3 linked regions of the Mus musculus genome follow. The protein of the gene in region 1 interacts with the protein of each later gene in a biochemical or structural test. Links are inferred from orthologs where the notes say so. Each region holds a gene or a part of one and is shown in the gene's direction. Other genes may lie near its edges.

The links.
Region 2: the proteins of Chaf1b (region 1) and Asf1a form a complex in vitro, tested with the Homo sapiens proteins (2 studies listed by BioGRID and IntAct). The link is inferred for Mus musculus from reciprocal best matches to the Homo sapiens genes CHAF1B and ASF1A.
Region 3: the proteins of Chaf1b (region 1) and Asf1b form a complex in vitro, tested with the Homo sapiens proteins (2 studies listed by BioGRID and IntAct). The link is inferred for Mus musculus from reciprocal best matches to the Homo sapiens genes CHAF1B and ASF1B.

The regions. Positions count from the first base shown.
Region 1 is NC_000082.6:93,886,892-93,890,542, forward strand, and holds part of Chaf1b (chromatin assembly factor 1 subunit B), read left to right. Parts: intron 1-230; coding exon 231-348; intron 349-1,150; coding exon 1,151-1,254; intron 1,255-3,651. UniProt on the Homo sapiens protein: Acts as a component of the histone chaperone complex chromatin assembly factor 1 (CAF-1), which assembles histone octamers onto DNA during replication and repair.
Region 2 is NC_000076.6:53,595,491-53,599,887, forward strand, and holds the start of Asf1a (histone chaperone ASF1A), read left to right. Parts: upstream 1-1,470; 5' UTR 1,471-1,699; coding exon 1,700-1,808; exon of another isoform or gene 1,809-4,397. UniProt on the Homo sapiens protein: Histone chaperone that facilitates histone deposition and histone exchange and removal during nucleosome assembly and disassembly.
Region 3 is NC_000074.6:83,968,101-83,970,752, forward strand, and holds the end of Asf1b (histone chaperone ASF1B), read left to right. Parts: intron 1-1,033; coding exon 1,034-1,240; 3' UTR 1,241-2,095; downstream 2,096-2,652. UniProt on the Homo sapiens protein: Histone chaperone that facilitates histone deposition and histone exchange and removal during nucleosome assembly and disassembly. Cooperates with chromatin assembly factor 1 (CAF-1) to promote replication-dependent chromatin assembly.

The DNA.
Region 1 (3,651 bases):
CCTCAAACTCACCATGTAACCTTGCACTTCAGATCCACCTGCCTCAGACTCCCAAGGGCCAGATTACAGGCATGCACCACGCACCACCTAGCCATATTCTTGGATATGAGTGACTCCTCATGGCCAGAGAGTCCATTGAACAATATAAAGCATACAGGACACTCTAAAACTCCAGACATGAAGGAGGGCATGGAAGGGCCTGGTTCATGCTATACTGATTTACCTCACAGATGCCGTCATTCTGTTGTGGAAGATGAATGACAGCAAGGAGCCGGAGCAGATCGCCTTTCAGGATGAGGAGGAGGCGCAGCTGAATAAGGAGAACTGGACTGTGGTAAAGACCCTGAGGTAACAGGGGAGGGACTGTGGCCACAATCCATTTTTATTTGAAGGTATATTCTGGTTATTCTAATTTATGATTGTTTAGTTTATGACTGAGAGTGTTGTGTGTGTGAGTGCCTGCTGAGGTCAGAAGAGGGTAGCAGATTCCTCGGAACCGCAGTCACAGGTTCTGTGCTACCCGAGAACAAAACCTGACTTTTCTGGAGGAGCCAGAACCGTGATTAAGTTCCAGCCCCCAAGTGACTCTTCTTTACAGCCTGAATACCTTAATAGTTTATGTACCTAACTTAAAGCCTGTGCCTACTTTATAAGACAATAAAAACATTATAAAAATAGATTTTTTTCTTTCTATTATGAAAATAGAAAGTAAAAAAGAATCAGGTAAAAAAGAATCAAGTCTTCCCCCATCTGGTTTTTGAGCCAGGCTAGTCCAGCTGAGTAGCCCAGGCTAGCCTTGAATACTCCACCCTATCCCCTCAGTTTCCTAGTGCCTAGATTATCACGTTAGACACAGATGTCTTTGAAAACAGCTGTTTATAGCCAGGGCTGACACATCTCCATGGAAAATTCCTAGAGTCTAATTCCAATGTGTGGTTATAGACTTTGAACTTTTTTCCCCCCCCTATTTTTCAAGACATAGTTTCTCTATAGCCCTTGCTGTCCTGGAACTCACTCTGTAGACTAGGCTGGCCTTGAACTCTTCTGCCTCCTTAGGGCATGCACCACCACTGCCCAGTGACTTTGAACTTTTTGGTAGCTTTTCTCTTTTTACAGTAATAATGTTAATCCTTCTGTCTTTGGGCTCTAGGGGCCACTTAGAAGATGTGTATGATATTTGCTGGGCAACCGATGGGAATTTGATGACCTCTGCCTCTGTGGATAACACAGTTATCATATGGGATGTCAGTAAAGGTGAGCTGTATACGTATCTCATTAACATTATGTGTATATGTATGTGCACATGTATGTGCATGCAGTGCCCATGAAATCCAGAACAGGCTGCCTGATCCCCTGGAGCCAGAGTTACAGGCAGTTGTCTAGGAACCACCAAGCTTGGGTCCTCTGTGAGAGCAGTTAGTGCTCTGACCTGCTGAGCTCCAAACCAAGTGGTTTATTTCTGCTACTACGAGGAAGAAGGAGGTACGAGGTTGGGGATGCTGAGTTGGAAACTGTTTTGACAGAGGCTGAAATCCAGGCACTGCCCAGACCTTCATCATTTCATTCTGCCAGGGTCAGCCAAGTGATGAGTCCTGTTCTTGTCTTATTCTGTCTTCCAAAGTCTTTGCTTGAGAAACTCAGGTCCCGGGGTCGGGTTTCCTGGTCTATTAACCCATGTCTTGGTTACTTTTCTATTGCTGTGATAAGTCACCATCACCGAAGAAACTTATAAAAGGAAGTACGAGGTGGTTTGAGTGTGCTTGTCCCATGGGAAGTTGCACTATTAGGAGGCGTGGCCTTGTTGGAGGAAGTGTGTCACTGTGGGGGTGGGCTTTGAGATCCTATGTTCAGGTTCTGCCCAGTGCAGAAGAGACCTTCCTCCTGGCTGCCTGCAGAAGATAGTCTCCTTCTGGCTTCTTTTGGATCAAGATGTAGAACTCTCAGCTCCTCCTCCAGCACCATATCTGCCTGAATGCTGCCGTGCTCCTGCCTTGATGATAATGAACTGAACCTCTGAACCTGTAAGCCAGCCCAGTTAAATGTTGTCCTTTATAAGACTTGCCTCGGTCATGGTGTCTGTTCACAGCAGTAAAGCCCTAACTAAAACAGAAGTTGGTACCAGGGTCTCAGATATGGCTTTGATAGGCCTGATCTTGCTTTTGTTTGGAAGAACGTGGATTTGGAAGCAGTGGAATGCTTGTAGTGGGGCTTAATGGACCATCCTAGTAGGAATATGGAAGACAGTGGTGCTGAGGGTGATTTGAACCCTGGGGTCCTGGCTCTAGATGTCTCCGAGGAGAAGAACTTTAGTTTGTGCCTAGAGACTGCTCTGATATTTTGGTGAAGAATGTGACTGCTTTCTGCCCTTGTTTCAAGAGTCTTACCTGAGGCTAAGGTGAAGAGACTCGTCAGATTAATTGCATTGACAGAAGAAGTCTTAAATCAACTCAGTTTAGACTCTGTCCTGTGGCTCGCTCTTAGGAGGAATGCTTTGATCAAGTGTAGCAAGCTTAGAAAGCAAAGATACAAAATGTGTGGGTTCAAGAGTGAAGGGACACCAGGAAGTAGAATGGAACCCAAAGCCCATCCCCTGGTTAGCTTACGTGGGGCTTACGTGGGCCCCCTTGAGCCTGCCTTTCAATCCAACCTTCCTTAATCCGAGCCAACTTCCTGGAAAGTCTTTCAAGGAGAGAGATGCCCTCAGGTGTGTTAGGGAGGGCAGCACATAGGAATTAGGTTGAGGCATGTCCCCTGGGTCATGGGCACTGTGGGTTAGCAGTGCCGATGGACGGTGGGTGTGGAATTGGGGTGGCAGTGGGATGAGTGAGGAAGGGAAGGGGGTGAAGGAGTTGGGAAAATGGAGGAGTCTTTTCTCTCACCCTCTCATGGACTGAACCCAGGGCCTTAGAATGGTAATTTGAATTACTGAATATTGCTTAGTTTGAGTGAAGCCTGTGAATTTTGGGGCCAGTCTGTAGTTCTATATGGTCTAGAAGCCGCCCCTTACCAGCAAAACGGGCCTGAAGTTAAATGGATAGAATTTCAAGTTGATGCTTGTTGTACTTGGAGGTGAATTCAGGTCTAAGTCCTTCCTGTTGTGTCTGTATCCAACTGACGAGCCTGTGTGTGACAAGCTGATGGATGGGGGCACTTTGTGCTGAACACCAACCTCATTAAGACGGGAAATGAGAGAGACCAGGCACGAGCAGGCCTCTGGAAGAACAATAGAGAAATCCTCTTCCTTGAAAGTGGCAGGGTGCGGTTGCACAGTGGTGAGGAATCACAGCAAAAGAATCCCAGACCAAAGGTTGCTGAAGAATAATTCAAACGCAGAAGTAAGCGAATACAGCCAGACATAGTAGTTCATGCCGGCACTCAGTACTCCCTGCATTCAGGAGGCAGGAGAATTGCTGGGAGTTTGAGTCCTACTTGATCTACATGGTGAGTTCCAAGCCAGCTTGGACTGTAGAGTGAATTCTAGGCTAGCCTGGGCTATGAGATGAGATGTGTGCACGTGCACACATACATACATAGTTAAGGCTCCATAACTGTGTTTCCCTTTGGTCTGGGGAAGCTCTGTGCTGCTGTCTCCTCTGCTGAGGGCCTTTGTTAGCCTGCTCAGCTCAGGCCTCGCCCAACCATCCTTCAGTT
Region 2 (4,397 bases), on another chromosome or scaffold:
TGACTGAACTGATGGACACCGATTGCCCAGCGTACTGACAATAAAAGTGGCTCTCTCCCCACTTTAATCTCCTTAAACATGGAAGGCCCTGCTTCATGATAACTAAAGGTCTTCGGACAAGGACAGATCATCCACAGCAATCCAGTTGAGTCTCAACCTGTCCAAGGAAGATTAATTAAATTCTGCACACTAGCAGAAACTTCACTTGCAGATTAATACTAAGACATAATTTTCACTCCGGATTTTATTGAATAGTTTAGTAGTTTCATTTATAAGGAAAAAGAAAAGAACCCAATGGTTTATGAGTAACACCTCCACAGTAAAAAGAATCAGTTCACATTCACAAAGGTGTTAGGTTTCCGTTTCCTGTTTCCTAGTCTACCCACAGTGGCTAAGTACCATAAACAAGCAACTTTTCCTCCAGTCAGCCTTGAAATGGTCTCACAGGCGTCACAGGCATGGAAGGTCTCCTCAGAATTGGTGTGCTGCACTTTTTCACTTATGAATGTTTGTTATAAATGCCTTGAAGAGCAAATGGCATGTTATCTGTGCTTTCTCCTTTCTCATATTCCACCAAAAATACATTTGTTGTCCTTTGGCCTTCAGACACTTCCATTTTCTCGACTTTTGACTTCTTTCTCTGTGCCCCCCCAACAACAGAAGCCTCGCTGTAACTGATCACGTTTTCCCCCTTTTATTTCTTTTTTTTTGTTTTGTTTTACATCTTTTCAGTTATTAAATGGGAAGAAATCCAACATGCAGCTGAAGATCGCATATTTTTTTTCTAGCCTGCGTGTGTGTGTGTAAAATCACCCCGCCCTCATTTTGTATCTATTTCACCGCACTGTCGTGGCCAAGAACTTGAATTCCAAAATGGCTTGCTCCTTTCGAGCTGACATGGGCTATAAAAATGCAATTTATTCCCACTGCAACCAGCCCTTCTCCCTATTCTCTACCATTACGATTGCGAGAAGCACAGACAGCTAGTTGGGCCTGACAAGGGCTGCAAAGCACACCTTATCTGCTAAATCCAGCAGAGCCAGCAAAGCCGCCGGCACTGGTGGGGGAAGCGTTAAAGGCTGGAAGAAAACCCGAAAAACCCCAAGGCCCATGCTGCGCACACACACGGGGCCGCCTCGCGCCCTCCTGCTTCCACCGCCGGCCCCGCCCACCCCACGGGTCCCGCCCCCTCCGTCCCGCCGCGGCCACGCCCGACGTGTGGCGCGGCCCCGCCGGGCGGGGGCGGGGCCTGCGTCGCCCCTCCCCCGCCGCCGGCGGCCTCCGCGCGGGCCTCCCAGCCCCTATTCCACTCACTTTGTTCTGCGCCTTTGTCCTGGTCCGCACCAGCAGGTGGAGCCGCAGTGAAAGTTTCCCGTCCGTTCTGCGAGCGGGAGCCCATCTTGCTCGCCGCCGCGGCCCTCGCTGGAGGAGGAGGGTCAGAGCTCGGGGGCAGCCAATCGCGGGCAACGCTGCTAGTTATCAGGGCAGAATGGGCTGTAGTTTAGTGAAATAGGAAAGCTGCAAAACACCGTGGAGTGCCGCCGTGTAAATAAAAAGGAAAAAAAAGTTTCTCAAGTCGCAGCTGCACGACGTCGGGCCGCGCCGCGCCGGGGCGGGGGTCTGCGCTCTCGGAGCGGCCGCGCGCGGGACTCGGTGGTGCCGCCAGCCCCGGCCCCATTGTTTGTGTTTTCTTCAAAATATGGCAAAGGTTCAGGTGAACAATGTAGTGGTGCTGGATAACCCGTCGCCTTTCTACAACCCGTTCCAGTTCGAGATCACCTTCGAGTGCATCGAGGACCTGTCTGAAGGTGAGCGAGTGGCGCCGGGCTGTCAGTTGCGGCGGCGGACGTTAAAGTTTCCCGGCCCGGCCTCGCGCGGGGTGGGCCGCGGCCGGCGGCCGGCGGGAGGGCGGCCATGCGAGGGAAACTTGAAGTTGAGGGACGCCGGCCGCGCCGCAACTTGCGAGCAACTTGCCGGGCGGAGGGAGCCATGTTGTCAGCTTTGTCTGCGGCGGGCGGCGCTCGGCGGCCCCCGGCTCGCGCGGCGCTGGCGGGGGGTCGTGCGGCCTCGGCGGCCCCAGGGCCCCACGGCCCGGTGGGGAGCAAGCTGGGCCGGTGGGAAGCGGAGCCATCTTACCCGGCGGCACGACGCCTGCTCCGGACCGCCGGGGGCGAGCGGGCCCGCGCCTTCCCGCCCGAGCCCCGCCGAGGCTGTCCTCGCGCCGCTCTCCGGCTCCCTCCACCAACCAGCGCGGAAGGCGGGCGCTGGGCTCGGCCCCTCGGCGCCTGGCTCCCGGGGGGCGGCCGTGCTCTCCGCGGGCGCCCGGGATGCTGTGCGCCGCCTCTCCCCGGGGACAGAGACCTCTCGGAGAGAAATGGTGAGGGGCTGGGAAGTTCCATGGCACCCTAGAGCAGAAGCAGGGTGCTTAACCAATTCCAGGCACTTCTCTGGCGTTTAGAAAGTCTGAAAGACTTTCTCCAGAACGTGTGAAGAAGAAGCAATTAAAATAACTCCACGTCCAAGCAGATGGAGAAAATGCAAACGTTAGCTGGGAGATAGAAGGCAAAATCCTTTCTGAAGTACATTTTACGGTTTAAAAAATGCGAAATAGTGAGGTAATACAGAACTTAGAAAGCTAAAATATGGCTTCTTAACGCTTTTCTTAGATTTTATTAAAATCAATGCTTCATTTTCAACATTTGAAACAAAAAGTTTAACTTCATTGGTGTTAAATTTTAGTTAACTAGGAGGACATCTTGGGACTTGAAAGTATTTCGACAAAATGCCTTGTATTATCCTAATCATGACGAAAAGAATTTCTCTTTTAATTTAAAAGTTTATAATCTCTTCAATGTACTTCATGTAGAATGTTAACTTTAATTATAAAAACCATTGCAATAAACCTTTAAAAATTGTAAAAAGGAAGTCACAGCCCCTTCTCTTCACTCCTTTGGCTAACCATCACTTAAAACGTACCCTGCTGTTTTTAATACGTATGTAAATTATAACGTGCATACATTTAGTGAGTGGGACATATTTTGAAGATTGACTAAACATTAAAATATAGTAGTCTCTGAATAGACTGTGATGATTAATGTAAGTGTAAGGGTGTTTTCCATTTGAAATGTAACAGCATTTCCACATCAGACCTATTTCCAACCCCAACACTGATTTTAATTTTCTTTTTCAAACTGCCAATTTATATACAAATGATCAAATATAAAGTAAGATCATGGCTGAGTCCATCCTAACTCAGTGCAGTGTTCGAGGCATTAGAAGTTCTTTACACTACAGGTGTTTCTCATATGATGGCTTCCATTTTAGGTCCACATTGTATGAGGAAGATAGGCTCTAGGATATTGTTACAGAGTCATTACACTGGATAGTTCGAAACCAGCCACCCACAGAAACCAAACAGGGTTCCATGTTAAACAGGGATCCTTTCACAACAGTGTTATTACTCAAGTCAAGAATATGCCTTCCTCTAGTACAATTCAAAACCAGCGCACCATTATTTTAAGGTATTTTAAGCTGAGTCATTCCAAAGCTGCAGAGGAACCCTTGACAAAGGTGCCATTCCTGTCTACTCCATCTAGAGGCTCTGTGGAGCAAGGAGATGGGCGTTGATTTACCCTGCAGAAGCTCGTTTCTAGGGCCCATACTTTTGTTGTACTGTGACTTGTTAAGTTACTGATCAACGTAGAAATTCCTCTACAGGTAATTTTGAGTTTATGATTTGTGTCTACCTCCAACGTACCAATTAGCCTCCTTATTGTCAGGAATCCACTTGGTAGAAGGAGAGAACTGACTCCAACCAGTTGTCCTCTGACCTCCACATCAGTACCCATATATACAGAAACACACTTAAACATTTTTAAAGAGACTTTAAGTAGGGGCTTTATTATGCTTGATCACTAAGCCTATACGTTTAATTGGCCCTCCTTCAGTTTCTAAGGCTTAATACTTGCAGTGCATCAAAATTGACCCTGTGGCTTTATACTTTGAAAGTTCAGGCCTGTTCTGATTGCAAAGACTGTATATTTTCTACTAGACCACAGATTTTCCCAACAATGTAATTAACTTAAAATTTCCTTGGTAGTATCCCTTCCACCACATATGGAGATATTTTCTGGCTGGGATTACCATGAGTAAATGGAAAAGTTAACTTTTAAAATAAATGGATAATTTTCAGATTGAAACTCTTGTAGAGCCACAGCCCTTCACCATAACTCATAGAATACAGAGGCATAGAAAAGAGAAACCGGCTTCTAAACACATTGATAAATAAGCATGGCATCGCACTCAGACTCAACCTGTGCCCGTCCCTTGTTCTTAGTAAGGCTGGATTAACCCACTCTCCATTACCTGTCCTTATCCACTCTCTTCTATACTCTTGA
Region 3 (2,652 bases), on another chromosome or scaffold:
GGTCATGCTGTCTCTGCAGTGCTAAGCTAGAGCTAGAATATAGTAAGTCTTTTCTTCTGGAGGCATGCCTAACAGAATGAGGGCTACAGCTAGGACCAATGGAGCATACTGATCTCAGTACCCCAGCCCTGAAAGTTAGAGGCCAGCATCATCTACATAATGAGTTCCAGCCCAACCTAGGTTACATAGCAAGACCCTGTTTCCAGGTGTGTGAGGCTTGGGGAGCACCTGAGAAATGCTCAATGGTTAGGAGCACTGGCTACTCTTGCAGAGAACCTGGATTTGATTCTTAGCATCCACATTGGTAGCTCACAGCCACCTGCAATTTCAATTCCAGGGGAATCTATGCCTTCTTCTGACTTCCACAGGGATCTGGTATATACGTGACAAACAGACATCTCAATAGGAAAACATTCATACAATAAAAATAAAAATATTAAAAAAAGAAAGAAAGAGCGAGCGAATGGGCTGGAGAGATGGCTCAGTGCTCTTCCAGAGAACCCAGGTTCAATTCCCAGCACCCACATGGTGGCACATAACCAACTTTTACTCCAGTTTTAGGGGATCTATGCCCTCTTCTGGCCTCCAAAGGCACCAGGCACACATATGTGACATAGACATATTTACAGCCAAACACCCATATACAAAGTTTTTTTGTTTTTTTTTTTTAAATCAAATAAGCCAGGCATGGTAATACATATCTCTAACCCCAGTACTTGGGGGCGGGGGTTAAAGCACTTGGGGTGATATAGGCAGATCTCATGTGTTTAAGGCCCTCCTCATCTATATAGTTATAGGCCAACCATGGCTACATAGTTGAGACCCTCTCTCAAAACAACCCAAAACCAAATGAACAAAGCTAAGCAAACCCAGGATGAGAAGGCCCTATTCCTACCCAGAGTGTTCAAGTATCTCTAGGGTTCTACATCTGAGCAACAGGGGTGCTTGAGTCTGCTTTCAGGCTCAAAGTGGAGGTTTGAGGGAATAATGAACACTTAGGTGACAAGGGCTGACATTCTTCTTCTTACTACAGCTACAGCGGAACATCTTGGCCTCTAACCCCCGGGTGACCCGATTCCATATCAACTGGGACAACAATCCAGACAGTCTGGAAGCCATAGAAAACCAGGACCCCAATGTGGACTTCAGCCTTTCCCTCAGTTGCACTCCTGTTAAAAGCCTGGGCCTCCCTAGTTGCATCCCAGGCCTCCTCCCTGAGAACTCCATGGATTGCATCTGACAGGGGAGCCAGGTAGAGCTCAGTAGGACCACAGCAGTCTCCTTGCACACCTGGAGGGGACCTACAAGCCCTCAGTCAGACATGCTTGGTCATCTCAAGGATTTGGGGACCACCAGCTGTCTCCAGATCTGTCAGCCCCAAGAAAAAACAATGGGCCCCAATCTCTTCCATCCAGGTCCAGAAGAATCATCTCACTTATGACCTACTGACCTCTAAAAAGCAGGTACTTGTATTGCTCATTCTATGCGTCATTTTTCTTTATATATTATCAGTTTCTATGAGATGCTTTCTGAACACCACCTTCTGTGAGGCTTGCTTGGGCAGTGTCTGGCTAGCATTGGCCAGAGGTTATCACTCCTTCCAACTCTAGTTCTTGGGGACTAGGCAAGGAAGAAGTCCTAGTTCGAAGGCCAGCTCAATACAATGGCTATCCTTTCAGAGTGTCTAGGACATTCAGTCTAACTAGTACTACAAAACGCAAAAGTGAGCTCCCCAGGCCAATGAGGGATGTCAGGTACTTTGGTCACAGCCACCTTTTCATCTCCTGACTGAGCCTGGCTTTCTGAGAGGATTGCCCTAGGTAGGTATATTGGAGGTCCTGCTTCATGCATTCTGGCCCCATAGAGTCATCAGGGTTTGCTTTGACCACATGTTCATTCTCATGCTATACCCAAATACTCTGGGATAAAGGAGGTGTTTGGCAGGCTGACCTGAAAAACTCCCATTCCATCCACCTCTATCCTAAGCCCTTAGTTCCCTTGCTGCTACATGTATGCTATTGTGATTGCAGTGTGTATATTAAAAGGTTTTATATTAAAAGTTTTGGTTGTCTTAAGAATAAAAGCACTTCATCTAGATTGTTTTGCTTTTTTCTCTCCCCTCTCCTCCGTCCACCCACTCACACATAGCAGGCCTGGGATTCATTCTGTAGACCAGAGATCCACCTGCCTCTGCCTCTGCCTCCTCTGCCTCGAGTGATAGGATTAAAAGTGTACAATACCATACCTGCAAAAGGGTTGTTTTAATGTTGGTTTTTTTTGTTGTTGTTGTTGTTGTTGTTGTTGTTGTTGTTGTTGTTTTTCGAGACAGGGTTTCTCTGTGTAGCTCTGGCTGTCCTGGAACTCACTTTGTAGATCAGGCTGGCCTCGAACTCAGAAATCTGCCTGCCTCTGCCTCCCAAGTGCTGGGATTAAAGGCATGCGCCACCACTGCCCAGCTTAATGGTTATTTTGTTTTGTTTGGTTGTTTTTCTTTAGGGTTTATGGTGGTGGTGGTTTTGTTGTTTTGTTGTTTTTTTACGGGGGTGGGGGGAGAGGTTGGTTTGTTAGTTTGTTTTTTAGGTTTTTTTGTTGTTGTTGTTTTGTTTTTGTGTGTCTTTTTTGAAATAGAGTTTCTCTAGTTATCCTGGAACT